Pelodiscus sinensis: one gene and its partners. The protein of the gene in region 1 purifies or fractionates together with the protein of each later gene. This does not show direct contact. Links are inferred from orthologs where the notes say so. Each region holds a gene or a part of one and is shown in the gene's direction. Other genes may lie near its edges. The genes, in order: MAPK9, DUSP8, DUSP16 and MAPK8IP1.

Region 1 (7,693 bases):
AAAATCCCCATCTTAAATTATGCATTTTCAAAAATTCTGCATTTGTACTTTTTATATTATGTAAACATAGTTGCGGGCTAACACAGAGGAGCTATTACAAACCTCAAGGGAATTTAACTATAAGAGTGAAGTGCTCTAAGTTCTCACAGCAGACCATTCAAGAATTACCTTAACTCAAGCTTTGAATGTGATTTTTTTTTTAATGGCTCATGCATGTACTTGTCAAGAATTTTTTGTTTGTATATACATACAAGATATTCCCTGCAGAGTTGCTTTTAAATAGAGATGTTTTAATACTTAACTGGATGGCTTGACAGTGCTACAATAGCTGCTTGTAGTAATTTCTGGTAAATAGTTCTGAAGCTCCCACAGTTTGTTTTACTTGTCAAAAGCCAGTACTACACCAAAAAAAGGTATAGTGAAAATCAGGCATGGAAGCCAATGGCATCTGCTGAACAGAATTTTTTGGCAGGTGATGGAAAGGGCTTCTTCTGTTTATTGAGCAGCTAGTTTTCTTGTATTGCCAAAAAGTGCAGTATTAAGGCAATTTGATAACTAGTCTAAAGCACGTTAATTCAGTAAAAAAAATTTTAAAATTACAGTGAGGGGAGACTAGACAGAGGTAGAAATGCTCATTGTGATGTTACACTCCATATCTTTATGCAAATAAGCTTATGATATGGATGACATAATTGAGAGAAGCAAAATGCATTTTGCTTCAGCTACCCCAGACTAACATGGCTACATTTCTATCACTCTTCATAATTGAGAGAGACCTTGAGATGGCTCAGATAAGGTATTGGAAAGGTTATGATTTACTGAATGTGACTATCCAACTTGTATACTTATATCATTTTTGTATCTGAAGTTACATAGTCAATATTTCTATTTGTATTTCAACTATGCTACAGAGAGTAACACCTACTGCTAACACTACAGGTAAAACAATGGAAAAGCCAGACAGGGCTGATGGCCCATCAGTGACAGCAATGGACTGTGAAAAGGCTTCAGAGGGCCCCTGTTAGTCTGTAAGGGTACGTCTACACTACAGTGTTATTTCGAAATATCTAATATTGAAATAGTTATTTCAAAATAAGATATTTCTAAATAACGCATCTACACACAAAATGCATTTCAACATAGCATTTGGCTATTTCGAAATAGCACGTCCACACTGAGCGGACGCTGAATCACATTTAAGGCCGGCTAGAACCAGGTCTGGCAGGGCATCAGGTCAGGAGTTACATTGTGTGGTTGCAAAATGCAGGACAATGTAGCACTTTAAAGACTAACAAGATGGTTTATTAGATGATGAGCTTTCGTGGGCCAGACCCACTTCCTCAGATCTCAGATTGTGTGGTTGCTGCCTGAGGCTATCCGAGGCCTGTGCTTAAAGGAACCCCTCCTGAACAGCAGATTCTCAGGTTTCCCTGCTTGCTTGCCTACCTCGATGAGGGACAGCAAAGCATTTTGTCTCTGCGTGCTCTAGTTGCCCTCACTCGGGACACCACAGCACTCTGCAACATGGAACCAGAGCTGCCCCTGGGCACTCTGGTGCTTCTCGTGGACACGTTGCTGCGAGCCTGACTGCACTTTCTGCAGGCTGCCATCCGGGAGGTCCATCGGGGGGTTGTCAGTATCCAGGAGGCCTTGCGGGAAAGCTTCCACCCTACGGGGCACTAAGAGCCTCCCTGGTCTGCCCCACTGAGGGCTTGTGCGTCATTCTTCCCTCATATCCTTCCACTTACCACTCCCTAACCCCCTTTCTTGATGTAAAATAAAATACATGTATTTTCATGAACACAAACTCTCTTTATTTAACAAAATGGAGGTGGGATGAAACTCTGGTGAGACTGGGGAAAGGAGGAGAGCGGATGGGAGAGGGGAGGGAGAAACCTGGGAGGAGGGAGCTGGAAGGAGGAAGCAAGGGGAAGAAGGGGGAGGGGAAGTTCAGGGTTGGGGAATCTCGCCGGACCAACTTGATTTTCATGCAAACCTACTCCTAGGTTCACATGTGGCCTTTGGTGGCCAGGCTGGCAGCTATCCTGCCATAGATGGCCGCGTTCCCCCATCTAGTGTGGAGATCATGGACGTTGGGGGCACCCCCCCAAACCTGAATAAGGTCCATGATCTCCGCACTGGATCAGGAAGGTGCCCGCCTTCTCCAGGCCCTGGCAAGCTCCTGGGAGCTGGCAGACTGCTCCTGGGGAGTGGTGGAGGACTGGCTGCCAGTGGCTTGCTGGCTCATGTTTTGGGGCCACTAGGTCAGGAGTAGTGACTGCTGGCTCTGGGCTGGCAGGCTTGGAGCTGGCACAGGCACTGTGGCCAGAGTCTACCTCTTTAAGGGCTCCGGGGAAGTGGGGAAGGGAGAGGAGTGTTCTTGGTTGAGGCCAGAGTGACCACCAGGGCACCCTGGGAAGGGCTGGAGGCCCCCTATTTTGAAATAAGTGTCTACACAGCACTTATTTCGAAATAGCAATTTCGAAATTGGCGTGACTCCTTGTGGAATGAGGTTTACCAATTTCGAAATAAGCCCTCCGCTATTTCAATTTAATTTCGAAATAGCGGTTGGCTTGCAGACACTAGGAAATTTATTTAGAAATAACAGCTGTTATTTCGAAATAACTTTGATGTGTAGACATACCCTAACTGAAAAAACATTAAGGTCCTGCAAGACTATTTGTTTTTTTAAGTTTTTTTGTGTGAAAAGACTTGGCCTTCCTGGGGACATTCCATACTGCCACTGACTCATGGATGCTGTGATCCTACGGCGTTAAGTGATCTGGTCACCTGTTACTAGCCTCCATCTTTGAGTGTTGGACTTTTCCACTTGGGAGATGGGGGAATGAAAGGATTTGTGCCGTATGGAAATCCTATAAGATGGAAGAGGAAAACAATCAAAGCCTTCAGTTTGCTTCTCCTCTGCCTCCACACCCAAAGAGATGCTTGAAAATAACAGGAAATAAAAGGACCGGAACAGGGTGGGAGAAGAATTGCCTGATTCAGGCTGGCAAGATACTTGGCCTGTAAAATAATCTACCTAAATAATATCTAGGGTGAGGCATTATTGTTTGTTAGCCAACTGACTTAAGCAGTTTGCATGCTTTGTATTTTCTTAGCAAAGAGAAGAGCAGATTGCTATCTGTTATAAACACTTTAGATCAATCTTTATGTAGTTAAACTTATTTCTTTACAATATATCCCAGTTTATGTAATTTCTAGTGGCAGTGGGGGAGAGAAATTTTGCATATCTTACTCCACATCAACAGAGGAGGCAGATTTTCATATAATGTTGGGCTTGCACTTTAAGGGAGGTGGCCACCTGCGTGCTGTGGCAAGTCCCTTAAACTGAGCCTTCCCACAGCTGGTATCAATGTCGGTATCATGCTGCAGTTGGGTGCAACCCCTGTGTGTGCGTGCTCTGAAGACGTTTAAGAGCCTGACACAAGGAGACAGGATTAAAGGATGCCCAGACTGGCAGAAAAGGCAAGCTCAGTGTTACCTCAGCCTACCAGGGGGTCCAGCCCATCACAAGCATTGAGTCACTTACCACCCATTGATGTAGATTGTGTTAAGGTTGTATTTTTTTAGTCAGTAGCAGTTTTACAAAGCAAGCAGTCTGAAGATTGAGGTGGGGAGGGAATGAGTACGGAAGAGCAGGCTTGTAATGTAGATTTTTGTGAGTTCGGTGGCTAAATATTTCCCCTCACTGGGCTTTTAATGCTCAGTCATCCTCTACTCTAAACACATACTGTGGCATTTTACACCAATGCTGTGGATTACAAGAGCTATTCATATGTTTAACAACTAACAGAGTGGGGGAGGCTGTGCTACCTACAGTGACCTCCTTCCCCCTTTTCCAGTGGTGGCTATGCGGTAAGGAAATGTGGCAGCCATGCATTGCCGAATCACTGGAATGGTTCGGTAGCAGCAGAGTGGTCACCTCCTATCACAGTCTCCTACAATTTTGATGGAAAGCAGACTCATTGTGATGCAATGAGCGCCCAGCTCCATCCTGACAGGAAGGGATGGCATCAGCATGTGGCAACATGAGGGTCTTCTTATGACGTCAGGGCTAGGCACGACAGCCGTTTGCTGCGAGGGACTGACCTCGCCACCCTGGGGACAGTAGAGTTGCCAGCTGGTTTCAATAAAAATACCGGACACACTTGACATTACATCACAATCTACACTGCATCTTATTTAGAAAATACCGGACATTTCTATTTTCTCAATCTGTTGCGGGAACAGAAAGCTCAAATACTGGACTGTCTGGTACAAAACCAGACCCCTGGCAACCCTACCTGACACTGGTGCTTTGCCCTGAAGCGTTGACTGGCATTGTGGTGTGAGATGACATCACACTTATGACATCACAACAACGGGAACAGGCTAACACAGATTGGTGACGTCATCACCACGAGGAGCTTGCCGTTGCCACCCAGAAAACGATCCCTCAGACCCTCCCGCCTCTACTGCAGTCCCCCCACCCTCCTTATGTAGTGGCTAGCGCGGCCCGCCCCCACGGCCTGATTGGCTGCGGCCGGCGAGCGGGGAGCAGTGGTTGGGCGGCGTGGCTGTCTGTTAGCGGGTCCGGACCTGGCGCGGCCCGTGAGGGGGCTGTGACGAGAGAGGCCATTGTGGCGAGGGAGGCCCGGGCAGGCGGAGAAGCGAAGCGGCGACCGCAGGACCCGCGCGCCGAGCCTCAGGCGGAGACGGTGAGGGGGGAGGGGCGGTGCGGGGGAGAAGGGGAACCAACGGCCGGGCGGTTTCCGTTGGCGGGCGGAACGGGGAGGGGGGAGGAGTCTCCAGGCCTTGGGGGAGGGGGCGGCGGCTCGCGCGAGACCCTCGCCCGCCACTGCGCGCGGGTGCCGCGAGCCCGCCTCCCCTCAGGGCGAAGCTGTCGCCGGAAACTTTCCCTGCCGCCCCTCCTCCCGCGCTCTGGGGCCCGGCCTGGCCCTGGAGCTCCCCCGCAGCGGGCCGGGGCGCTGTATTTTCGCCAGGCCCCCTCCCCCCGCTGCCGCAGTCTGTCAGAGCCGCGAGCTCCTGCCCGGCTCGCATCCTCCCGCCTCAGGTGAGCGCCCGCCCGCCCGGCCGGGAGGTGCCGCCGGAGGGAGGGCGGCGCGCGAGTAGCCGAACTGCAGGGCGAGCTGTCGCCGCTGCGGGTGGGATCGCTCCGTGGGAAAGTCCTTGCGACCCGGCTCCGCCGGAGAACACGAGCAGCCGTGATGGACAGGCCCGCTACGACTCGGCTCTTGTGGGTCTAGTGCAGGGCGGGGTTCTCTAAACCCCGCTACCCTCTTCTGGCGACAAAAATGACACCCCCCCCCCCGGCCGGTGTTCCCTCTCAGCAATCCCATCCACGTGTGGAATAATGTTATGAGCACGGAAGCATGTGCAAATGTGCACCACCATAGAAACAAAACATAGCTGTGGGCGCTCTGCTGGGCTGCAGTTGAATTTCTCCTGAGGCGCCACACCAGTGCCCATATTACACTGCCTGCAACCCCATTAAATGTCTTATGGGGTCTGCGGTTAACTGTTAGTTTAGCCTGGGGATGTACTAAGCCCACAGTGGGTTCTGCAGTAGGAGCTGGCAAACTCAGTTCTGGCATGTGCTGGTCCCAGCAGCTGGTCCTGCTGTCAAGCTGCGGCTCTGCATTTAAATTTGGAGGCAGCAGGCAGAAATGCAGAGCTGCAGCAGAGTGGGGTCAGCTGCCAAGACCCGGCATGTGCCTGGACTGAACCTGCCTGCAGGCTCCAAGCTCAAATGTAAAGCCGTGGTGGGGGTAGGAGGGAGGGGCAGCCAATTCCCCAGGGGAGCAGCATTTTACTGGTTACATTAATCAATAAGTATTGTTTTATCAGTTAACTGGTTAAACTCTTAACATCTCTTAGTATATGGCAGGGCTATGTCTAGATTGCATCCCTTTTTTGGAAGAGGAATGCAAATTAGACGTATCGCAATTGCTAATGAAGCGGGGATTTAAATCTCCCCTGCTTCATTAGCATAAAAATGGCTGCCGCTTTTTTTCGGCATGGAGCTTTGCCGGAAAAAAGCGCCATCCTAGACGCAGATCTTTCGGAAGATAAAGCCTTTTCCGAAAGATCCCTTATCCCTCTTAAAATAAGGAATAAGGGATCTTTCGGAAAAGGCTTTATTTTCCGAAAGATCTGCGTCTAGGATGGCGCTTTTTTTCCGGCAAAGCTCTGTGCCAAAAAAAAAGCGGCAGCCATTTTTATGCTAATGAAGTGGGGGAGATTTAAATCCCTGCTTCATTAGCAATTGGGATACGTCTAATTTGCATCCCTTTTCCGTAAAAGGGATGCAATCTAGACGTAGACCAGGAGTTGTAGCAGTTTATGCTGTCTTAGTTTACTGATTTCCAAGAATTAATTCACTGTCAATATTATTAGTTTGAAAACTGTGTATTCTTAAAAGCCTAATGCTCCAGGGTGTTTGGAGCCATAGCTGGGCTCGCAACTGGGACACCAGAAGTAGGACCAAAAGCTGGGAGTTGGCCAATAGCAGGGGCTGGAATTGCGGCCAGGAGCAAGGGACAGAAGCAGGCCTAGGGTCGTGGCCAGAAGTGGGGCCCTGGGCAGGCCATAACTGCCTGGGAGCAGGGGTACAATTGGGAATAGGGCAGGGGTGGGCCCCAGCTTGCCTGGATCTGGCCCCTGAGGCTTAGGGCTCCCCCCTCCAGCACTGGGGAGCCTGTGCTGGCACCCCAATCTCTCGCTCCCCCACGGAGCTGGAGCACACTGAATCTACTAGCCTAGGCCCCCCAGGCCCCGGTGTGTGAGGGGAATGTGGAACGTGTTTTTCTCCTTAGTTAAGGGCCACATCAGTGAGGATTAGTCTTTTGGTTTTTTTTGTTTCTCACTTGCGTGCGGGCCCCCAACTGTTATTTCTGTGGGTCAGTGGCCCCTGACCCCAAAAAGATTCCCCATCCCTGGAATAGAACCTGAGCCATGGCTCGGAGCCGATACCAGGGCTGGACCTGGGCTTGAATTAGGGTTGTTAAATTTAGATTAATTAACTAATTGAATAGTCAGTGGGATTTCCATTGACTATTCGATTAGTCCAGGGGTCTCCAAACTACGGCCCGCGGGCCGGATGCGGCCCGCGAGGCCCTCTCATCCGGCCCGTGGAGACCTTTTTGTCTACGGAAAAAAAATTACGTGAAGAACAATTTGAGAACAAACTTGTCCGATGATAATCTCAGGTCACTGTTGATGTTAGGGACAACAAATCTAAAGCCAGAAATGTCTGCTATTTTGGCATCCAGGAAACAATTTCACCATTCACACTAATACAGGTGTTCATGTGTAGTGTATCAATGTGTTATTAAATAATAACTGAATAAAATAATATTAAATAATTAAAACAACATCCATGTTTTGATTGTTTTTTATTTGGACCTCAAGTGTGTAGTCGGCCCCCGAACTGCTGTTTGATAGTTAATGCGGCCCTCGGGCTGAAAAGTTTGGAGACCCCTGGATTAGTCTATAAGGGCGACTCCGCTTTTGAACAGTAGCAAGAGCCCTACTGGGGTTCTTGCTACAGTTCAAAGGCGGAAGCACCCCAGGGAGTGCAGGGCCAGCAGGAGAATGGCCCTGCAGTGCCTGAGCCTTTGAAATGTACAAGAGCCCCAGCGGGCTCTAGTACATTTCAAAAGGAGGCCCCTCT
Region 2 (7,326 bases), on another chromosome or scaffold:
GAGGTCATGTGCGCTGGTTTGATGTGTGCCACTATGGCACCCAATTTATTAACACACACATTCCTGGCTGCTGGAGCAGAAACTGCCCCCCTCCCCTGCCATGCAGCATGTCCTGTTCCCAGCCGCCGGAGCAGACCTCCTGGCCATGTGGCATGTCCTGTTCTGAGCCTCTGGAGTAGACACCCTGCCCCTCCCACCATGCAGCATGTCCCATTCCCAGCCGTTGGAGCAGTCCCCCCTGGCCATGCGGCAGGTCCTGTTCCCAGCCCCTGCCATGAGAACAGGCCCTGCCACCCCTGCCACGCGGCAGTGCCAGTCACAAGAGTAGTCCCCTCCTCCCCGCCACACAGCTGTGGCATGTCCCAGTGCCCCACCTCAGAGGCTCCCTCACTTTGCTGTCTCAGCTGGCCCTGCCTGCTGGAGCAGCTGTCTGCTGCACAAGTGCTGCTGCGCAGCTTTCCTGGAGGGGGGAGGGGGATTTTTTGTGTGGTTGCCCAGGCGCGAACCTTAGCAGGAAATATGGTGAAAAGCTCGTTTTTAAACTGGCAGCCTCCCCTGCTTCCCTCCTCCCTCCATGCTGCTGCCTGTCCCCCATCACTGTCTCTGTGGGAGGCAGCAGGGGGTGAGGGGAGAGGGCAGGTGGCTCTATGGAGCCGGCATGCGAGGAGAGCCGGCTTAAAAACTGGCTCCTCACATATATGGGCAAACCACTGATCTAGGATCCTTTGCCTCATTGGACTTTTATTGCTATCTACTGTTCCTTCTACTCTGACCAGAAGTCTCCTACCACTGCAAGTAGGGTGTGCAGTGGCATCCTCCTCTCCAGCTCATGTTGCTCTGTTTCAGAACAGAATGCTTGTCAGGATGAGCCAGCTGTGTGGAGAATTCTGACTTGGATCGCATCTTGATAGAACTGCATGGAAATCATATTTAATTTTTTTTCTATAAATTTTTGAAATAATCATCATCAGATTTCAAAAGGCAATGACTTTTCCTCTATTTTTTTCACAATTTTATATGTAACATCTTGGATTTCAAACATTTTCAGATTGTTCTTCCTTCCCCCACCTAATTTGTATGATTTTAATCACTGGCGGGGGGCAAAGTAAGAGAGAGAAAAAAAAAGTTTATGGAAGGGGAGGTATGAAATCCAAGCTATTTATGAAAAACTCCTTGGCTTTGCATTTTCTGAGGACAGTCTAAAAACCTATGAATTTTCATGTGCAAGAAGTCAATTTTTTGTTTGAAATGTTTGACCCACAGTGCACCTCCTGCACTTTGACCAGGTAGAAAGGGCTGCCGTCACAATTGCAAGGCACTCCAAAATTAAGACCCATAACTTTGTTGAAGGAATGTGCTACAAGGCTGAAACGAGGCCAAAGGGAAGAAAATAATATAGAAATTCAGGCATTGGCTGTGCTGAGGATGTTGGTTACCAGTATAATCATGCTGGGGCAAACTTCTAGTGCCGTCAGGACTGTCATAAGCTATGATTTGCACCTGGTGCAAAGAGCAGCTCTGCATAATTGTGTTTGGGGTTTATATCAGCAATGTGACTACAGTGGTCTGGCCATTGATGGTTGTAATTCAGGCCAATCCTTGGTTTAATCCAAGGCTGTAATTGGCACAGTTATACATTTTGAGTGCACATAAAAATGAACTTCCCTTAATAACTTTGTCCCTATTACTCCCAGTGATGGTTGCTCTGCCCGGATGCCTGAGTTATCTCCCGTGATCAATTCTGGTGGCTGTAAAGGGTAACTTGGGGGGATCTCAGTCCTTCCCAGATGGTAGTAGTGGTAGTGCTTTGCATCATGGTAGCCCCTAATGGCTAGGACTGCTTGGTACTATACAAATATATAAACAAAGCTGCCTCTCCAACCTTGCAATCTAAATAACTCTAATAATTTGAAATCCTGATGTGGCCAGCTCATCTGTACATGTCTGGAGAAGAAAGAGTTAATTTTAAAATACATATATCCTTCTCTGTCTTCCTAAGAAGGCAGGAAAGGGGAGGGAGCCTTTCCTTGATTTTGTAAGTATTAGCAAAACCTTTGCTTTTAAAGTTTAATCCCTCTTTAAACTGGAGGCTGTCTGGCCACATCCAATGTCGCAAAGGAAATGACTGCTATTTTTGCAGTTCTCCTGGCTGGCTGGCGATTGTGTGCCCCTGGGATGGCACAGAGGTGCGGCGTTCCATCACACAGCATGACACCCCAACTGCAACATCACCTGAAAGTGTCAGCTCTTCAAGGGGCCCAAACATGTGCTGACTCTGAAGGGTGGCATTTGGGTTTGGTGAGCCCTTACAGTGGACCTGAGAAATGGATATCTTAAATCTCATCTCTCTCCCAGTCTTGCCTTCATGTTCTCTTTCCCCCACCCCTCTAAAGTGAGGAAATCAAATCACAACAGGCCCCAGATTCTGTTCCCATCAGATGCTTGTTTCATGGCTCCTGTGTGGCGTGTTTACTGTTTACAGAAAGTAATTCAGAGGCACAGACAATGCTCTAGGGCAAGGAGTTGAGGCAAGAGTGAACAAACCTCTCTGGCCTAACAGGCCTCAGCTTCCTGAGGCTGGGAGTAATTAAAGCAGAGAGTCCAGCAATAGCTTGGGAGGGTGAAGTAGTCTAGCAGCAAAGAAAGGCTGATTTCCCCATTTCCCTGTTTTATAGGAAGCTGGCTGAGGGGTCTGATCCAAAGGGTCCGTGACTGACTTCAGGGGGCTTGTATCGGGCTGTGAGGCGTGCAGGACAGAAGCTCTTTAAAGAAGGGGATATAGGAGAAGCAATCGCTCAATTGTCCTCTTGTCTTTTTAACACTTCCCAACATGCCAGCAGTGGCCAGTCAGAGAGCAGGGTACCTCAGCTGAAGGGAGTCCCTGCGCCAGCAGGCCCGCTAGCGTTACAGTAGCACCACCCAAGGAATGAACTCTTATAGCTCCCTGCTGCCTGTGGCCGATCACTTTAGTGGGCAATACAAATAAATACTAAGAAGAAAAACAGCCCCACCCAAAGGGAAGTATAGAAGATTGTAAGAGGAGCTTTAAAAAAAAACCAATGATCAGGTCTTTGTGTTTCAGAGGAGCTCCAGGAGGTAGAAGCTTGGAATTCTGCCACAGAAAGAGATGGATAATTTCAGCTCCTGAATCATATTCCATCCACAAAGCGTGGATTTGGGTGTCTTCTTGCTCCACGGTCCCTTGCTATTTTAAGGGTTTATAAATGAAATGTACTTTCCTCTTTCCTCCCAGACAGCCATAAACTGAGCAAGCAGCTGTAGGTCACTCCTTGCATGCTCTGGAGGTGACAGGATCTGTTTCAGGTAAAATCCTATAGGAGGACATTAAGTACATCCTTCTAAAATGAAATCAGATTTGAAAATGTAAGGCTGCTGCATGCTGTATTTCATAAAACATGCTGTCCCCTCCCTTTGGCTTTAGTGGAAAATGTGTCCCAGTTCCTCTCCTGCACAGCAGGGCATATCTGTGTGCCGAAGAAACAAACCTGCACACCCTTCCCCTCCCACAATACATGCCAAATTCATTTAGCATGAGTAGCTTGCTTTACACCGCTGCCCAGCGCTCCAGCCTGCACAGTTCTCCCATCTCCTTCAGCAGATGGTAAGACAGTGCATTTCCCTTTTAAGAGTTTACAGCCTGGGAGGGAATAAATAAAAGGGGAAAAAAACTAGGCCATTGCCCCTTTTAAACTGCAGCTCTGCCTGCCTGTCTCCCTTTAATCTGCACCCAAAGCCCCAGGATCAGAGGCTGACGTCACCCTGCCCCTGAGCCTCCCTCTCTGATTGGCTGGGGGTGACGTCAGGTGCTTTTTTTTCAAGGCATGACCTCATCCTCAGTTCATTTTTAGTTCTAAAGTGCAACCTTCTGTCTTCCTGGATCCCTTCAGCCCGGTTAATGCTTATCTGTGCCATCCTCCCCCAACGCCCCTTCCGTGCAGGGCCATGCCTGCCCCACACTCAGTGGGCTAGTGTTATGCCTACATTGCAGTGGGAGTGCATGTGTGTGTTTGCAAGGGGCTAGGACTTGCATCATCAGCACTTGCAGCAGCCTGGCAGTGCTTCTCATTTGATCATCCTGTAATTGCGTTGAATTATCCTGGCGAATGTGCAGAACTCTGCAATCAGCTGGAGCACCTCAGGAGCGCTGATTCCCCCGGCTGCAGAGGAAGTGCGGCAAGGTACGTGTTTTAAAAATGTAAGGGACGAAGAGGTGGCTTAGGGCTTCTAATCGTGCTCCGTATCTGAATGACCCTGCAGTAGGTCCTAGGGATCGGAGCCGGGGAGAAAATGCAGATGTAGAGGTGTATTTTGTGTAGCTGTGAATTGCACCTTCCTGACGCCAATTCTGTGTAATGCAACACCCGCACGGATGGGCTGCGCGTGTGTATTTACACGCAGTGCTAGGCTCAGGAAGATGCAGTCGCTGGTGCGTGTATTGGTGAGCAGAAGGCACGCGTTGGAGGCAGTATTTGGGGAGATGGAAGGGTGCGTCTTGTGTTACCCAGAGCTGGTAACGAAACAGTGTGAATTTTTGCACAACACTCACCTGGTGCGCGCGCACGCACACACACACACACACAAACATCCCGTGGTGGGTGCTATTGTAATGGAGGGAGCTGCTGACAGGGAGCTACGTGCTTATGCCAGGGCGGTACTTTTGATAGGCGGCCTCACAAAATCCTGCAGGGTGCAAATCAAATGACATGATCCGCCCGCGTGCACGGAGGGGGGAGGAGAACATATGTTTGCGGTTTGCTGGTCTAATACCGTGGGGTTTTACAGAAGAGCCGGGCTCCAATTTGCCTGGGCTTTGCAGGCGCTGACTTACCAGTGTGCTCCCTCCTGGGCCCACCCGCTTGGGAGGCTGGTGTGAACGAGCCTGCGGTTTCTTAAGGATGTGTCGCCTTAGTGTTTGGAGGGAAGAGGCATATGGGGGCTTCCTTGCCATTGCTCGCAGGGCGCTGCTAGTGACCAAGGAGTTAAGCTTGCCCCTTACAATTATTTCCCCGCATTGGCAGGATGGAGCATGAGCTGCGTGTGTGCTGTGATTCAGCACCGAGGGCTGGAAGTGTTGAGATGAAAGATTCCTGGGTTGTGTGTGTGTTTTCCTTATTGGTTAATATATCCCTTTACACAATAAATTCCTGGTCAGTACTTAAAAGCTGACGTCAGTGCTTCAGTCTGCATTAGGGGAGCTGCAGGGCTGTAATTTGTGGTTTTGTTGTGAGGAAGGAGGTGCTGCAGCACTCTCTTCTGTTAAGGACGTTTGGATGTGCTTGCTGGGTGCAGCCCATGATGCATGTTTATTTGTATTGCAACAGAGGCTAAAGAATCTCAGCCCCATTGTCCTTAGTGGTGTGAACATACAGACATACCCATCAAAAAAAATCAGTTCCCTGTCCTGAAGAGCTTGCAGTCAAAAATAAGCTGCAGACTTGTAGCCAGAGAGGAAGTTTCAGACATACAGGCAGAACGGTAACCGGGTTAGCCGTGTTAAAACCAGATAAGTCTTAAGATCACAATGTTAAAGATTTTGATTGGCCACCTGATGCTTTTTCAGCCGGGTAACAGGCACTCTCACTCCTGCAATGAGTTTGTCAGTGACCGTTTGACTTATTTTGGCCTTAGTTTGATAGGAGGTGAAAGCCTGGTTGTCTGCCAGTTAAAACAAACCTGCCCCTCAACACATTTGGAAGCTCTGTACCCAGTAGCTCACGCTAAAGCTTAGCCTTGTCAACACCAGGAAGGGTTTGCTGGTACAGCTATAGCCCTTCCACTTACATTCTTATGTAGAATAAGCTGTACTGGCAAAATGAGACTGGAAGCTCTTCAGAGCAGAGGCTGTCCTTTTTGCACTGTTAGTACAGGTACTATGTTATTACAATAGGATTTTGTCAGTGTCACTGCCTACACCAGGGCTTTTGCTGGCATGGTTATTTTGGTGGGGGGGGTGTGACTTTTTTTTCTCAAGTGACCTGGCTTGGATCTACACTTGAATTTTGACCTGGAGTTAGCTCTAAGTTTGTCAAGTGACTCTGGACACTCCAAAACTGTTTTCCAAGACAACTTCTATTGAACATTGATAGGTTTTTACTCACTGCATCTAGTGCATCTGCCTTGGATGACTTTGTCTTTGCTAGCCTCAGTAGCATGATCACTATAGTCCTCTCCTCTAACATCATGCCTTTAAATCTGAGCCTACACAAGGCCTTAGGTATCTACATTAGTGGCCAGATTTTTCAAAAGCACTTAACAAAGGGAAATGCTGAGCATACCTGAAAATATGGCCCCTAATGCTTATCTGCATAGCACGGAACAAAGGCTGTGAGGTACCCAGCAGACAATAATGTTTGGAGAGAGTTTACAGTCTACCTTTGGACACCACACAGCTCATGATAGTAAAATACAATAGGCGTTAGGATGAAACTTCTTAGTCATCCATCTCCCTTGTTGCCAAATGACCTCTCGGTAAACTGGAGAGCCCTACATTTAAAAACCAAACAACCTTTGGGGACGAAATACATTCCTTTCCCCAAACTGAAGAAGCTTCTCATGGTATGAGTGGGATGCAGCTAGATTCCACCTCATTTCCTCCCAGCCTTATCAACAGATGCAGCTCTAATGTGTACACAGCTATGAAGTGGTTAGATTTGGCCCCCCTCTGAGTTTTTGTAAGGGTGTCTGAGCCAAATCCTCCACCGCTGTGAAGCTGGGTAGCACCTGGCTCCAAAAGGGGTGAGCGATCTGTGCTAAGGTGCATGTGATGAAGTAGCAGATGTGTAAAGATGAACTAAAGTGCTTGGAAAGCGGCATTTTATTTAGTCTCCCAATGTCTTTGCTTTATGACCGCTGCTCATAGGCACCTATCATCACTATTGTATTTGAACTGCTTTTGGGAATTGAAACCAATTGAGAAGAAGGTGGCGATTGAGGAAGGGATCTAGTAAATAATGGCTTATGCTGATGAGGGATGGAGTGGAGGTGGATGAAAATAGTCTAAGCCTTTGTAGATCTTTTATCCTGGGCTGTGAGTTTAAGGGCAACATTAACTGGAGAAGGGGAATCAACAGAAACAAATGGTTCTCTAGCTTCCTTTCTGTTTAGCAAATTGCTGCACACTAATACACCAGGGCATTTCATGGCTTTGAAACTGCTGAGCGCAAAACCTTTGTGGTGATTGCTTTTAATACTGGGGTCCTGCCAGGGAGGAGTACGCATTGCACGAAAATGCTGTTTGCATCCTAATGGCTGCACGGTTTTAAAACCTGCTTTTCAAGCCCTCGATTTTTTTTTTTTTTTAAGATG
Region 3 (7,637 bases), on another chromosome or scaffold:
TATGCTAGTGAGATGAATGTCAAGCAACTGAGATCAGTTGGGGGACAATCAGTATTTGGGGCCCAGATGAGTGCAAACTGGCATGAAGAACCAGTAGTTTTTGTAAAATGCTGTTCTCTCAGTAGCTTTATTTCCAGAACACCTTGCTCAGATATCCCTCAAGTTTGGACCACTAACACTTCTAAGCACCCCTATGAGACACTGATAGTTTTAAGAGAATCCAAATAACCATGCACATTTTAGAATACTTAGAAGCATCTACTTCTAATCAGAAAATGATGTTCAACCGTGACCATAAAAGCTGGTGCTTCAGTATAGTAGAAGATAAATCAGACATTACTGTTGTTCTTTTTAAGAACATAAGAATGGTCACACTGGGTCAGACCAATCATCCATCTAATCTAACCCAATGTCTTGTCTTCCAACAGAGGCCGCCAGATACTTCAGAGAGAAAGAAGAGATCAGGGCATGTATCTGGTGATCCATTCCTTGTCATCCATTCCCAGCTTCTGACAGAGAAAGGTTTAGGAACACAACCACAAAATTGGGTAGCATCCCTAATCATCTTGTTTCATAACCATCAATGTTCCTACTCTCCATGAATGAAGCTAATTTAATCAGTGTTGCAAGAGATCATTCAAAGGTGAAACAAGCTGTTAATAGCTCTACTATCATAGGACAGAGGAGAGTTAATAGGTTACAAATTGTTGTAATAAGCCAGTATCTGTATTAAGACTGTGATTTTTTGTGTATAGTAATGAATTTAAGTTCACAGGTTTGTCTATTGACTCTGTGGCACAGGTTTCCTTTGATAATGAGTGCTAAGAAGTCAGATATGGAGTGTCCACCCATGGATTATATGGTGTTTTATCTTTTATCATTTTTCTGTATGAGTTAACTTTGAGAACATAGTGATTGTTTGGTTTCATAGTTGTTACTGGGGCATGTAGTGCACTGAATGAGGTACACCACATGGGCTGATAGGTATGTGTGTGACCCTTGGACCTTGAAGGTGTTTTGGGGGCTGGGCGGGAGAGAGGGGAGGGTTGATCATCATAGCAGAGCCTGGAAGTTAAGGTTTTGCATCTGTTGTTGTAACAGAGGTGTAATGTATAGTTACTTTGTGTGATATAAAAAGTATAACAAGATGTTCCAGCTTAACTTTCAATGTCTTTCCCTCAGGGTTTTTATTGCTGCTGTTGTTTTAAATAAAGAGTTTTTCTTTAAACAAAAGTATTTCTAAGATCTGGGCACTGATCTTGCAATGAAGGCAAAAGGAATCCTCACAGCCACAAGGGGCTACGTCTATATTGGCAAGATTTTGCGCAAATACTCTTTAACGCAAGAGTTTTTGCATTAGAGTATTTGAGTAAGAGAGCATCTACACTGGCATGTGCCTTTGCGCAAAAGATGCGCTTTTGCACAAGAGCATCCATGCCAGTGTAGATGCTCTCTTGCGCAATAAAGCTCCGATGGCCATTTTAAACATCGGGCTTTCTTGCGCAAGAAATTGATGTTGCTTGTCTACACTGGCGTCTTGTGCAAGAGGGCTTGTCCCTGAGCGGGAGCGTCAGAGTATTTGCGCAAGAAGCACTGATTTTATACATTAGAATGTCAGTGTTCTTGCGCAAGTACTTGCGGCCAGTGTAGACAGGTGGCAAGATTTTGCGCAAAAGCGGCCACTTTTGTGCAAAATCTTGCCAATGTAGACGTAGCCAAGGTGCTCTACTGGGAAGTCATCTGAAGGGCCTGGAGTCTTCACAATATGGCTGTTTTACTCTTTTGCTTATGATTCAATGTGTTATCATTTTAAATTGTTAAGTACAATTTTTGAAAAGTAATTGAAAATAACTATTGCCAGGTAGGACAATTATGATTAGTTATCGTTTATCTAGCACAGGGTGCAGGGTACCATAAGTTTGGGACCACAGTAAAACAATTACAAGTAAAAACTGTAAAGACTGGACAGAAAAGGGAGGGAACAGAAAATTTCCCCTTTTAGGGCTTGATCCTTGTTCATGCTTAGTTATACTTTACTCCATGATTAGTCCCATCGAACCAATATCTACACCATGTTGTCTAGAGTTCCTGAATGTAGCCACATAGTTAGGGTACTGGTTAGGACTTGGCGGGTGCTGGACTAAAATCCTTGCTCCACCTTTGACTTCATGTATGACCTGAGCAAATAACTCAGAGCTGGTCTCCACTAAGAACTTACATTGGTCTCTCCAGGGCAGGCCTGCACAACATCCAGCCCACGGGCTGCATGTGGCCGGTAGGGGCTCACTATGCGGCCCGTGACGACTACGGACGACGCGGCCTCATCTGATCCGCCGGCCAGGCACAGGAGCAGAGTGCTGCCGGGCTGCCTGCATGCAGCTCCAGCGCAAGGAGGCAGGGCGCAAGCCAGAGGGCGGGACGCAGGCAGACACCAGGACCCTGGCGTGATGTGGCGTCATGATGTTACGGCCGGCGATTAAAAAAGGCTCCGGCAGCTCCGCAAATTGGAAGGCAGAAGCCACGTAGGGGAGGGGAAGGGGTTTGTGCTGAGGGAGGGGGGCAGGTCAAGAGAAAGGGGAAGGCACCAAGGGGCAGGGTGCAAGAGAGACAAATGCCAGGGGGCCAAGTGGAGACAATGAGGAAAAGGGCAGGAGGGGAGGTGTCTGTGGGAGGAGGGACAGGGTGATGCTGGGAGAGGAGAGGGTAAGGGCATTGGGAGCCGTATGTTGTGCAGGCCTGATTTAATTGAAAAATTCTTAATAAAATATCACCTCCCCCCCCAACCTACCCTTGCGGCTAGGGTTGCCAGGTGTCCAGTTTTCTTCCGGACAGTCCGGTATTTGCACTCTCTGCACCGTAAAAAAATTCAGAAAATATTGGACATGTGCAATGTCCGGTATTTTTTGAATTTCCGGCTGGGTACTGGACGGAAGCCTGGTGGCGCCTCCTGCGGTTGTGTGCTGAAGCCAGGCAGCGCGGGGGTTTTTTGTATGCCCGACACGCTTTTTTTTTTTGCTCGACAAAAATTTTTAGCCCGCATGTTCGGTATTTTTTGGGAGACCATCTGGCAACCCTACTTGCAGCCTGCAGCTGTTTTCTTTGGAGTAATATGGCCCTCGCCGCTTTCCGAGTTGTGCAGGTCTGCTCCAGGGTGTGAAATGTCTGGAGAGATGTAGCTATATCAACCTTACCCACAGTGTAGATCAGTCAGAGGTGTGCCGTGGAGAACAGCAGAGTTCAAAATGGCCACCCTTAAAGGGGCAGGCGACTTTTTTTTTGCTCAATAATTTTCCCCCACTCCCCTTTTTTCCCCCTCAACAAAAAATCCTTGGTGTTCCTCATAAAAAAAATTATTGTTTGGTGTTCCTTGGTCTTAAAAAGTTGAAGAAACACTGGTGTAGATACATTTATGAACAGTAGGTCAACAGAGGAATTGTTCCATCACCCTAGCTACTGTCTCTTGGGATCATGGATTACCTAGGCGGACAGGACAACCCCTCCCATCAGGATAGATAGTGTCAACACTAAAGTGCTTCAGTACCACAGCTGCAGCAGCATTTTAAGTGTAGACATACCCTATAAGTTTCTGTTCCTCATCTGTATGATGGGCTTGATAGCATTGCTCTGCCTTACAGAGGTATTGTGAGCATATAAGGGTACGTCTACATTGCAATACTATTTTGAAATAACTAGCACTATTCCAAAATAATTTAGTCCGCATCTACACAGTAGGCAGTTATTTTGAAATGGTGTTGAAATACTGTCAAGCTGGAGGACTTCTTACGCTGACTCCTGTAACCCTCATTGCATGAGGAATGAGGGAAGTCAGAAGAAGAGTGCTCTATCTCAAAATAAGTGTTTTGGAGATGCTTCCTATTTTGAAATTTCAAAATAAGCTCTGCAATTGCTGTAGCTCAATTTGCTTAGTGAGTTAAGCCCTGCAGTGTAGACCCACCCTAAGGGTGCTAAGTGTCCAGTTGAGCTGGAGCTGCTGCTGGTGGTGGTAAAATTCCCTTGTGGAGACATGGCCTGGCTGAGACTTTCCAGGATTGGGTTAAATTGGCCTGTGAAGGAGAAGGCAGGAAAGGGAGAAGGAGGATGCTGGTGAAGGATACAGTAAGAGGGAGAAGGGGGGGGGGAGGCAGTAGGGGGGGGAGAGCAGAAGACAAGGAGGGGGAGGAGGCGGGAAAAGAGGCAGGGAGGGAGGGCAGCAGCGGCTCATTTGAATAGCTGCCTCATTGCACCCGCCGCTCTGCAGGCTCCTCCCAGGGGCTGCCTCAGACACAAAGTATTCAAACACGAGTGCGAGGGGAAGAACGGGGAGTCCCGCCCCCTTTCAAGGCGAGAGAGAAGAGCCAGACACGCCAGGCGTGACACCACTGTGGGGAGCATTAGGTGCAGTGCAAGCATGTGCTGAGGGGGAGGACGCAGCCGGAGTGGGGGGCTGGAGCTACTGCAGAGAGCAGAGTAGGAACTGCTTTGCCAGCGGTGGCTGCCGCTGTCTCCTTGCCCTGCTCCTCTTCCCCCCGCCCCCCCCCCCCGCTCCTTTCGTCTCTCCCTCAGGCTGAGTTCATTCACTGGGATTGGTTTCAAATGACGCCATCTCTTTATTTTTACATCAATGACCTCATCCCAGCAGCTTGAAGTTTACTGACCAGCAAAACTCCCTCCCTCCCTCCCTCTCTCCTCCTCCTTGTGTCTGTTTGTTCTAGCCATTTATTAGTAATTGTGTGGGTCCTTTTGGAACCTTTTTAACTTTCCTTTCCCTCCCCCCTTCAGTTTTGGAAGCTAGCTTGGGGGGGAGAGAAAAACTCCCCACGTTTCCTTTCTCTCTCCACCCCCCCCCTTCCCCTTTTAAATAGATCAGAATAAAGTTTTAAAGAAGAAGAGGAGCCTGGCGCTTTCCAGCGGCTGGAAGCAGAGAAAGTTGGGTCTGGCAGCAACTCCAGCAGCAAAGAAGCTGGTGGTAACTTTTATTCCTTCTCCAGGAAACAAGCGCGCGGGTGGAGGTGGAGCGGGGGGGGGGGGGGTAACTGTTGAAAGCAAAGTAGAGGAAGGAAGGGGGTTGGCAACAGGGTTGGGGTGTCCTCTCCCCATGTTCCTAGGGGGAGCTGCTCACCACAAGGGTCACCCCTATTACGATAGGGACACGACTCTAGGGTGGGCTGAAGCTACGAGTTGATCTCTTTGCAAACAGTCTTTAAAACCCCCGGGTGGGTTGTTCCTCTTTCCCCAGTGTTCTGCTTTGTAGCTGCCTTGGCTTGTGTCCTTTTGGTGGTGGTTGTCTGTGTGTTTCAGTGTGTAGGCCCCAGGAGCAGAGGGAGATAGCAGTTAAATGAATTGGGGGTGAGGGGAAGGTGGTGGAAGCTGCTAGTACTGATGGGCATATGATAATAATCTATGCTGTCTTCTCATCTTCCCACCCAATCCTTTTATTCCTCCCCCCTCATTTTTATTGGCAGGTTGTTTATTTGGCCCTGACTAGTGTACAGTCCCTTTCCCCACCTCATATGGGGTGGAAAAGGGGGGAGTGGACAGATGAGCTGGCAGTGTGGTACACTTTTTAGACATTTAAAAAAAAAACCCACAGAGCCTAACTGCTGAGCATTTTTGATTCTCTTCAACACAGCAAGCTGTTTTGTGGTTGTATGTGGTTTGGTTTGTTTTTCGGTTCACCTTTGGAAAAAGTACATAGCCACCTGTCTTAAATACCAAATTTTAAAGGAGAAGGGACAGAGAGAGAAAAACAGGGTTTCCTTTGTATGAGGCTAGAAAAAGCATGATTTTAAGAACAAGCAAAACATCAGGTAGTTTGTTTACATTAATGTGTATTAAATAAAACAAACTTCAGCAGATGTTTTGGAAATTTTCTGACTTTTTGTGTTTATTTTTACTTCTAGGAACAATAAGTGCATCTGACCCTTTAGATTTAGTAAATAGTCATTTGAATTCATAATTTCAAATATTTAAGTATTTAGAACAATAAAAACACTTTTTAAAATCCTCAAAGTACTATCCAAAACTTTCAAAATGTTTGTAAGTACTGCCTTGAACTTTACTAGATATTTTAACTAAGCAAGCCAACAAAATGGAGGGTTGATGTAGAATCCAAAAAAAATTACCTGTGAAATGTTAGCTTGATTCCATTTTAAATATAGCAATAAAAAAAAGATTGATCTGTGTCTTATATTACTTCAAGCCCTCCTTGGAATTTTTTTCTGAATGTTTTAAGAAGTTATGAGAGGAGGAAACACCCTCACCTTATTCAGCACATGTTGATGTGTGTATGTGACAAGTCTATTGCTTAAGCTGATCAGCAATGTAAACTGCATCTAAGATGAAGGGTGCGGAGCTGTTAAAAATCGTAATATATTTTTTCTACAATTATTGCAGTTCAAATTGATTATACATGTGTACTCTTGCCCCTCTCTTTCTCGTCATCTTTTCCCACGTTTCCAGATGAAAGGGACATCCCTAGCACATTTTACTGCTTGAGCTATGGCTAACTTTTGCTCAAATGTTCAGTGTTTATATACAATATAGTATAAATATATACACACTTTAAACTTGCTGGAGGTATTTTGATCTGTTCCTCACTGAAAGGATGCTTTGGTTCAGGTTCTCTGATTTGTTTTGTGATCTTACTTTTTAAAAGTGTGTGTTTCTCCTGTCAGCATGTGGTTTGGTGAACACAAGAACTTATCAAGTCACAGCTGAACAAAGAGGAGTTGGATATTTAAGGGGTGTATTTTGGGGGAGATTGGAGAAATGTTCAGGATTAATTTCTTTGTGTGGCGTTCACCTTGCTGGCTCGCTTGAAACTGGAGCATTCAAAGCTCTATTCCTGAGGTGAAGTATGAGGGAAGTGTATATGTTTAAAAAGCAAATAGGGTTCTTTTTTAGTGTGAGGTAGGAAGGAGGATGAACCTCTTTTTTTCAATTTTTTGAAACTGGAGAAAATTGTTAAAGATATATTATTCCCAAAGAGATCCTGCAATAACCAGATATGCTTGTTGGTGGTGTTAGCAGGACATCCTATACAAAAATAGAATTTGCAAGAGGTTGAATATACTCTATGCAGTAAGCTTCCTATTACAGTAGCACTTGCACATACCCCGATAGTGTGTCTTTTGCTGTATTTAAAAAGAAGTAATCTAATAGGAAGTGTAAGTTCAAGGTGACAGCGGCAGGATTTTGGGTGGGGGGGGGGTGGCAGAGGAGTTGATATTAAATGTTCTAATGTCTAAACAGGCTGTGCAAGGGTTCTACAAATCCCATTACTTTACTCCCTATTTAGATCACTCTTTCAAAACTCTGCTGGGTCCAGTTTTCTATTTCAGTGATCTAAATGGAAGTACAGGCAGTCCCCGGGTTACGTACAAGATAGGGACTGTAGGTTTGTTCTTAAGTTGAATCTGTATGTAAGTCGGAACTGGCGTCCAGATTCAGCCGCTGCTGAAACTGACCGCCAGTTCTGACTTACATACAGATTCAACTTAAGAACCCCAAGCGTCCCCAAGTCAGCCGCTCCTGAAACTGATCAGCGGCTGATTCCAGGAAGCCCGGGGCAGAGCAACTCTGCCTCGGGCTTCCTGTAGTCAGCGCTGGTCAGTTTCAGCAGCAGCTGACTTGGGGAC
Region 4 (7,765 bases), on another chromosome or scaffold:
CCACGGGGAAGGCCATTCCAACAGGGGTTCAACTCTGAACGGGGCAGAAGGAGAGGCCATAACAAGATAAGAAATGATCCATCTCGAAACAGACACAAGGGTTCAAGATCAGACCAGGATAAAAGACCAATCACATCTCAGGGACAGCACCCCAAACCCTCATTTCAAGGGCACGCTCAAGGACAGCGTAGCATTCAAACATCAGTTACCCCACTTTGGTTTCCATTTATCCCGTTTCTACCAGGCCTGGTCCAGCAAACTTCAGACCAGTGGGTTCTAGACCTGATAGCAAAGGGTTATTCAATTCTCTTTTCCTCCCTCCCTTCGTCACGGCCCCCCTCACTCCTCCCCATCCCGCTTCAGGAACTCCTCTCACGAAACCCTGCTCAACCTACCTGTTCTGCTAAAACAAGAGGTAGCAAAGCTTCTACACCTCGGAGCAGTGGAAACTGTTCCAAAAGAATTCAAAGGAAGGGGTTTCTATTCCAGATATTTCCTCATCCCTAAAGCAAAAGGGGGCCTTCGCCCCATTCTAGATCTCACGGATCTAAACCCGTTCATATGGAAAACTAAGTTCAGAATGGTCACCCTAGCCTCCATCATCCCCTCCCTCCAGAAAGGAGATTGGTACGCTGCCCTCGACTTAAAAGATGCTTACTTCCATATTACAGTGATCCTTGCCCACAGGAGATTCTTCAGATTCGTAGTGGGTGACGAGCACTTCCAGTTCACAGTCCTACCTTTCGGCCTCACCACGGTGCTGAGTGTATTCACCAAATGTATGGCACCAGTGGCAGCCTTTATGAGGCACCAAGGCATACATGTTTTTCCTTACCTGGACGATTGGCTAATACGGGGGTCGTCTCGAACAAGTGATGAGGCACATCTCAAACACCAGATGACTGTTTCTCCAACTCGGCCTCATAATAAACGAGGAAAAGTCCACCATAATCCCCTCACAAGTAATAGAATTTGTAGGCGCCTGTCTGGACTCCACAACAGAGACAGCATCTCTGCCCAGACACAGATTTCAGACTATGTGATCAGTGATTGTGGGCCTTCAGAGGTCCCCCATATCCACGGCCTGCAATTGTATGTGACTGCTGGGTCACATGGCAGCCTGTACGTACATCATGATGCATGCCAGACTCAGACTGCATCCACTGCAGGGGTGGCTAAGCACTGTCCACAACCCAGTGCGACAGCCTCTGGACATGGTGGTTATTGTCCCAAAATCAGTACTATGCTCGCTAGACTGGTGGACACAGGAGGAAGTAGTATGTGCAGGGGTCCCTTTCAACAAGCAAGCCCCATCTGTGCAGTTAGTGATGGATGCATCAGATGTCAGGTGGGGAGCCCACTTGGGAACCCTAAGGACACAAGGACTATCGTTACTGAAGGAGAATTCTGTGCACATAAATGTCAAAGAGCTCAGGGTGGTCAGGTTAGCATGTCACGGATTCCTGCCCCATCTAGAGAACAAGGTGGTGGAGGTGTTAACTGACAACACGTCAGCCATGTACTACATCAACAGACGGGGGGGTGCTCATTCCTCTCCCCTGTGCAGGGAAGCTCTCAAACTCTGGGAATTGTGCATATCCAGGAACATCTACTTGCATGTAACCTACCTTCCCGGGTCCAGCAACAATCTGGCAGACAGACTCAGCCGTTCCTTTCAAGTCCACGAGTGGATGCTCACGAGAGATAGTTTAGAGAAGGTTTTCCAGAGGTGGGGCTATCCCTTTCTGGACCTGTTTGCCTCCAAGACCAGTACCCAGTGCCGGAAATACTTTTCTTTCATGAGACAGGGAATCAGGCCCTTAGGGGACGCTCTACGTATACAATGACCCACTCAGCTATTGTATGCATTCCCTCTGTTCCCACTAATACAGGACACTCTAGTCAGGGTCAGGCGTTTCAGGGCAAGGGTCATCATGATATTGCCAAGGTGGCCTGACAACACTAGTTCTCCACCCTGAGAGAATTGTCAATAGAGGACCTGGTTCGACTACCCCTAATCTCAGATCTAATCACACAAGATCTGGGGCAGGGGACACTATGCCATCTGAACTTGACGGCCCTCCACCTTAGAGCTTGGAACCTGAGTGGCTTTCTAACCTAGAACCAAGGTACTCACAAGAGGTCCAAAGGGAGAGTAGAAAGCCATCTACCGGAGCCCTTTATGAAGCCAAGTGGAAGAGATTCGCGTTGTGGACACAACAAAGGGGCATTGACTCAATCAGGGCCAATATTCCTCTAATATTAGACTATCTACTATAGCTCAGACACCAGGGCGTCCACCAAGGGAGGGTGGAAGGTCAGTGTTCGCTAACAGCATGGTGAAAAGATTCATGAAAGGAATCAATAGACTATTACCATATATACGTCCCCCTATTCCTCCATGGGACCTTAAGGTAGTCCTTAAGGGACTCATGCGGCCACCATTTGAACCATTAGCCACCTGTTCTTTAAAACATCTGTCATGGAAGGTGGCATTCTTGGTAGCAATTATCTTGGCCAGGAGGGTATCAGAGCTACAGTCTCTTACCTCAGAGCCCCTTACACAGTCTTTTTAAAGTTAAGTTCAGACTACGAACTCACCCGGCCTTTCTCCCTAAAGTGGTATCTTATATCCATATATCCCAGGACATTTACCTGTGTTCTTCCCTAAGCCACACAAGACGACCAGAGAGCAGGCTTTGCATTGCCAGGATGTGAGGAGAGCCATTGCATTCTATATAGACAGGACAAAGGAATTCCGTAAGTCATCACAACTCTTCATTTCCATCACAGAAAGAATGAGGGGAGTTCCAGTTTCAGCTCAGTGCTTATCCTCCTCGATCACCTCATGCATTCATGAATGTTACCATGGAGTGGTAAGACACCTCCCCCACTGAGAGCACATTCCACACGAGCTCGCAGGCGACATCCGTGGCATTTCTGGCACAAGTGCCTATCCTGGACATCTGTAGGGTGGCCACGTGGTCCTCCGTACATACCTTCTCAGAACACTATGCCATTACACAATAGGCCAGAGCAGATGCAGCTGTGGGAAGGGCTGCAATCTGTAGAAAGATATCATTACTCTCCGACCCCACGGCCGGGGACACGACTTGGGAATTACCTGATTGGAATAGACATGAGCAAGCACTCAAAAAAGAAGAGGTTACTTACCTTGTAACTGTAGTTCTTCGAGATGTGTTGCTCATGTCCATTGCAAATCCCACCCACCTCCCCTTCGTCAGAGGACTTTGGCAAGAAGGAACTGAGGGGGTGGAGGGGCCAGCAGGGACATATGTGTGCGGATATGTACCTGGCTGGCCCTATGGATACTGCTAAGGGAAAAAAGCTCCGGGATCCGTGCACATGGCGCACGCACACCTAATTGGAATGGATGTGAACAACACATCTCAAAGAACTACAGTTACGAGGTAAGTAACCTCTTCTTTACCACAGTCGAAAAAACCGCTGTGTTCTTTCGATTTAATTTCAAAAGAACATGGTGGCAGTCTAGACTCGGGAAGTTTTTTCGAAAAAAGGCCACCTTTTTCGAAAAAATCCTGTAGTCTAGACACACCCTCACTGAGGGAGGCTGCTCCAGGCTGCCTAGCCCAGCACATACACAGTGGCTCAGGCTGTCTTGTAATCTGAGCCTAGGTGGGAGATGCAATCAGGTAACATCTTTTGTTGAGAGGGGGCGGGAGCTGGACAAAGAGGGAGGCGGGGCTGCCTGCAGGGCTGGGACTGGTTGCTGGGTTTGTGAGTTAATATCAGCTGGCTTAGGAATCAGGATGGAGGGCATCTAGCTGGCTTGGGAGGCTCTGGGCCCCTCTATTGCCAAAATGGATTGTACTGACTGCTCCCAATTCCTGTGTACCCTGTGAACCAATAAACCTTTTGTTCTGCCTGCTGGCTGAGAGTCACATCTGGCTGCAGATGGGGGTTCAGGGCCGGATGGCTCCCCACGCTCCATAAGAGGCTTCATGTATGTTATTTCCTTAAGCAGTGCTACTAAAGTTATGAAAATGATTTAAATGCCATCTCAGCATGGACTCAATATGGCGTTTTTTCTAGACCTGGTGGTATGGTTAAAGGAGGGGAGGAGTAGAAATAGTTTAAAGAGCAAGGAGTAGAAATAGTAGGTTAGTGGACCCTGCCATGAATAGAAATGGTTCCACCTCTTTCTTTCAATGAAAATTGTTTGAAATCTGGCTTTAAACCTCCCCCTGCTGTGACCATAATGCAAACAGTTCCTGAGTAGCAGTAATTCAACCATCTCTAGGGACAGGCATGCTTCAGGAGGGCAAACTCTGCTTTCATCAATGTCTGAAAAATAGGATCTACCATCCCCGTTTGGGTCAGGGTGCTGATGAGGCATGGAGGGGGAGGGGACAGGCAAGCCTGGAAAATTAAAATACCTGTTGATTTTATTATCTTGCCCTTTCCAGGCCCCTTGGAGGCTACTGCCTAGCAGCTTTGGCTGCAGCCTACCCCCTCTGCTGGCTCTAACCCCGGCTGCATTTGCAGGGCCCCCGCAGTTGCTTGGCTGTAAGTAGTGGGTTGAGGGAGGGGGGTCTGGTGCCTGCAGTCCTAACGGCTGTGCTGAGACATTGGGTGGGGAGGAGTGGGGTGCTACCCTGGAGGTCTCCAAGATGGGAAGGGAGTGTTCGGTTTTGTAGGAGAGGGTCATTGGTTCCTTTTCCCCCTCCTACTCCTTGGATCTTCAAGAGGTCAGGGACTGCACCTGCTTTTATGTAAGGACCCATCCACTCCTCTCACTAGGAGCCTTTCACAGAGAGTAGTAGGACGCTTCATCACCTGTCAGCCTTCTTCCTCAGCCGCTGCCACCCTCATCCTCACCCACTGCCAGCCCCACACATCCCTCTCCCTGCGAGATCCCGTTTCCCAGCCCAATCCCCTCCCCCCTCGTCCTCCGCTCCTCCCTTTCCCTCCCCTCCTCTCCTTAGCCTTCGCCAGCCCATCCCCTCTCTCCTGCTCCTGCCTTCCCCCCGCTCCCTCCCTGCCGCCTGTCCCGGGCGCTCCTCGAGGAGCAGGACGCGCCCAGCCGCTGCTTCCTCCTCCCGCGTGGGGCTCCTGGGCACCGTCGACCTGCTGCAGCTCGCCCGGCGGGAGGGGGAGCCAGGCTGCGGCAGTCCCCTGGGGGCTCCTCTCGGGCAGTTCGGCCTCCGGGGGCTTCGGCTTTGAGCGGCGCCCTTGGCTGCCAGCCCCCGGGGCCTGCCGCAGGTGAATTCCTGCCTGGCGGCCCCGCTCTGCCCTCCCCTGCCAGCGTCGGCAGCATCCGTCTCCCCTCCCTCCGCCTGATGGAGAGAGAGAATGGCGGAGCGAGAGAAAGGAGCCACGTCCCCGGCCGGATCCTCTCCCTTCCTGGGGCTGCACCTCGCCTCGCCCCCCAATTTCAGGTACCGCAGCCTCCCCGCCCCCGCCCCTCTGTCCCTTTCCTGGGGGGGGTCGCTGCAGATCTTTGGCGCAGCCCCTTCCCCCCCCCATCGATCCCCGTTGTGGGCACAGGCTGCAGGCGCCTCTGCGCCCCCGGCCGCTGGCAGAGGCTGGGAGCTGCGGCGGTGCCCGTTCCCCACCGAGGAGGCTGGGCGAGGGAAGGGGCAAAGGCCGCCCCACCCCCTCCCCCGAGCGGGCATGCACAGGCTGTATTGCCGGGGCGGAACAATGACTGCCTGGGGCAGCCGGGTCCCGTCTCCCTGCCCCACAGCTGGCTCGGGGCAGTGTAACCCCTCCCCTCCCCCGGCCAGAGGGTCAGGCCCCGTCCCTGCTCGGGGCTGCGAAGGAGCCGTGTGCCCTGGAACAGGTGGGGTCTGCGGGGAGCGCTCCTGCTCTCTCGGGCAGCCAGGCGAAGGCTTGCGCCCTGCAGCTCAGTGGGGAGGGCTGGGCTCTGGGCAGCACAGCGGCAATCTGCATGGTAGGCAGTGTTTTTCCTGCTGGCTTTGTGTGTGTGTTGTGAGGGAGGGATGGAAATGCACACACAAGCATCCCCTCTCCAACCCGAAATCTCGCCACAGCATCCTGGAGCACCCCCGACCCTGGAACCCTCCCGTTATATTCCCCTCCTACCTCCCACTCATGCTTCCCCAACACCTCCCACCCAACCATCCACACCTACTTCCAGTCATCTCCTCCCACACTACTTCCAAATCCTATTTCCCATGGAAGCCCCAGAACTGCCCCCATTTTCTCTCCCCCACACACACTTTCTCCAACACAGAAGACTTCACAGCCAAAAAACACACCCCCTTCCCCAAAACAGATTTCCTCCCCAGGAAATACTTCCTTCCTCCTTCTTTCCTCTTTCTTATGTCACCTCAGAGACCAGGACCCCTGTGTATGCTCCTAGGTACAGACCTGAAACAAAACAAACCCAGGAGAGTGTTGCAGATTTAGAACCGATCCTCTCAGAAATACCAAAACCCCCCATCTATTTGGGACATAGAGCCCTTTTAATTTGAAGGCTGTGAAGCTGTTCACAACATGGGCCTAACAGCTCCAGGCAGATGCAGGGATAGGAGCAGAGGGGGACAGCAGAACCTACAGCTGCCTAGCTGAGATAAGGATACAGGTAGGCTTGGGTGGCAGGATGCCTGCCAGTTTGACTTCTGAAGAGCTGAATTAGCAAAGGGGTGCACAGGGGGCAGCACCTGATATTTGGTCTTGCATAGGCCATGCCACTATTTTTCCTGTGATTTGAGGGGCTGATGTAGTTTGTTTTTCTGAAATTCTGAGCAAGTGTCATCTGGTTATCAGATGTGTGTTTCATGAATGGTGGGGCACTAAGCCTAGAACTGAGTCTGAGCTGGGTAGGGAGATGAGACCTGTACTGTATTGTATATACTTATACTGAGAAATGCTGTTATCAGAGGTTAATGTTTCACATGTAATTCTGTGATGTGTCTAGGAGTCTGAGAATTGGGGAAAGGGAATATCTGCCATTATTTTGAGGGGAAGCTGGCATGGTGTTTGGACATTGTAAGGCAGGGTGAGAGCCCTTGTGCATACTGTCATTAGGTTCTAGTGCTTCCTCTGCTAAACAGCTTTATGGGGCTCTGCAAAGAGTAGCCCACTCTCTTCCTTTTAGTTCTAATGCTGCCTATTTGAATTGTCTGAAGCCATTGCATGCAACATGGGGGCGTGTTGCATGCAAATTAAACAATTCAAGCTGCCTCTGGAAGGGTCCACCATGAGGAAGAGTCTCAGCCACAGAGCTGGATAATGTGAGTCTAGCAGCAAAGCTCAGCCTGGTCCCGTGACAGTCTCAGGCTTGCTGTGTGCTGCTGTCCTAGATACAACATTTGTCTCCTGGGCTCTGTCCTCTCAAATGTAAACAGCAACACCCAGGGAAGGAAGAGCATGGTGTCATCTCCTTCTGTTGTCCAGGTCTCCAGAAGTGGAGTCCAAATGCTCAAGAAGCAACTTTTAATAGGAAAGGGAGCTGGGAATAGTAAGACCTTGTATGGGGAGAAATCTCAGGGCTCTGACACAGCGGGGAGAACTCAGAGGTCTCTGAAGTTAGGGAAAATCATTCCAGGAGCCCTGAGTTTGGGATCAGGTTCCTGGGATTCATGGAAACAATTCTGACATCTCTGAACTTGGGGTGAATTTTGAGGACCAGAGATGATGAAATATTTACGGGTGTGCAGGGGTTTTGGACCCCAACCCTTCTCCACTTTTCCCCACCAGGGTGTTTTATCTGGCAGGTGTAAGCACTGAGGAGTATTGGAAGGGCATGTGAACAGAG

The links.
Region 2: the proteins of MAPK9 (region 1) and DUSP8 purify together in Homo sapiens (affinity purification with mass spectrometry; 4 studies listed by BioGRID and IntAct, with this or other methods). This does not show direct contact. The link is inferred for Pelodiscus sinensis from reciprocal best matches to the Homo sapiens genes MAPK9 and DUSP8.
Region 3: the proteins of MAPK9 (region 1) and DUSP16 purify together in Homo sapiens (affinity purification with mass spectrometry; 6 studies listed by BioGRID and IntAct, with this or other methods). This does not show direct contact. The link is inferred for Pelodiscus sinensis from reciprocal best matches to the Homo sapiens genes MAPK9 and DUSP16.
Region 4: the proteins of MAPK9 (region 1) and MAPK8IP1 purify together in Homo sapiens (affinity purification with western blotting; 4 studies listed by BioGRID and IntAct, counting the BioPlex papers as one, with this or other methods). This does not show direct contact. The link is inferred for Pelodiscus sinensis from reciprocal best matches to the Homo sapiens genes MAPK9 and MAPK8IP1.

What each region holds. Positions count from the first base shown.
Region 1 is NC_134727.1:33,229,962-33,237,654, reverse strand, and holds the start of MAPK9 (mitogen-activated protein kinase 9), read left to right. Parts: upstream 1-4,522; 5' UTR 4,523-4,718; intron 4,719-4,782; exon of another isoform or gene 4,783-5,074; intron 5,075-7,693. UniProt on the Homo sapiens protein: Serine/threonine-protein kinase involved in various processes such as cell proliferation, differentiation, migration, transformation and programmed cell death.
Region 2 is NC_134714.1:116,978,951-116,986,276, forward strand, and holds the start of DUSP8 (dual specificity protein phosphatase 8), read left to right. Parts: upstream 1-3,886; 5' UTR 3,887-4,199; intron 4,200-7,326. UniProt on the Homo sapiens protein: Has phosphatase activity with synthetic phosphatase substrates and negatively regulates mitogen-activated protein kinase activity, presumably by catalysing their dephosphorylation.
Region 3 is NC_134711.1:128,538,850-128,546,486, reverse strand, and holds the start of DUSP16 (dual specificity protein phosphatase 16), read left to right. Parts: upstream 1-4,336; 5' UTR 4,337-4,963; exon of another isoform or gene 4,964-4,966; intron 4,967-7,637. UniProt on the Homo sapiens protein: Dual specificity protein phosphatase involved in the inactivation of MAP kinases. Dephosphorylates MAPK10 bound to ARRB2.
Region 4 is NC_134714.1:83,261,210-83,268,974, forward strand, and holds the start of MAPK8IP1 (C-Jun-amino-terminal kinase-interacting protein 1), read left to right. Parts: upstream 1-4,628; 5' UTR 4,629-5,321; coding exon of another isoform or gene 5,322-5,334; coding exon 5,335-5,420; intron 5,421-7,765. UniProt on the Homo sapiens protein: The JNK-interacting protein (JIP) group of scaffold proteins selectively mediates JNK signaling by aggregating specific components of the MAPK cascade to form a functional JNK signaling module. Required for JNK activation in response to excitotoxic stress.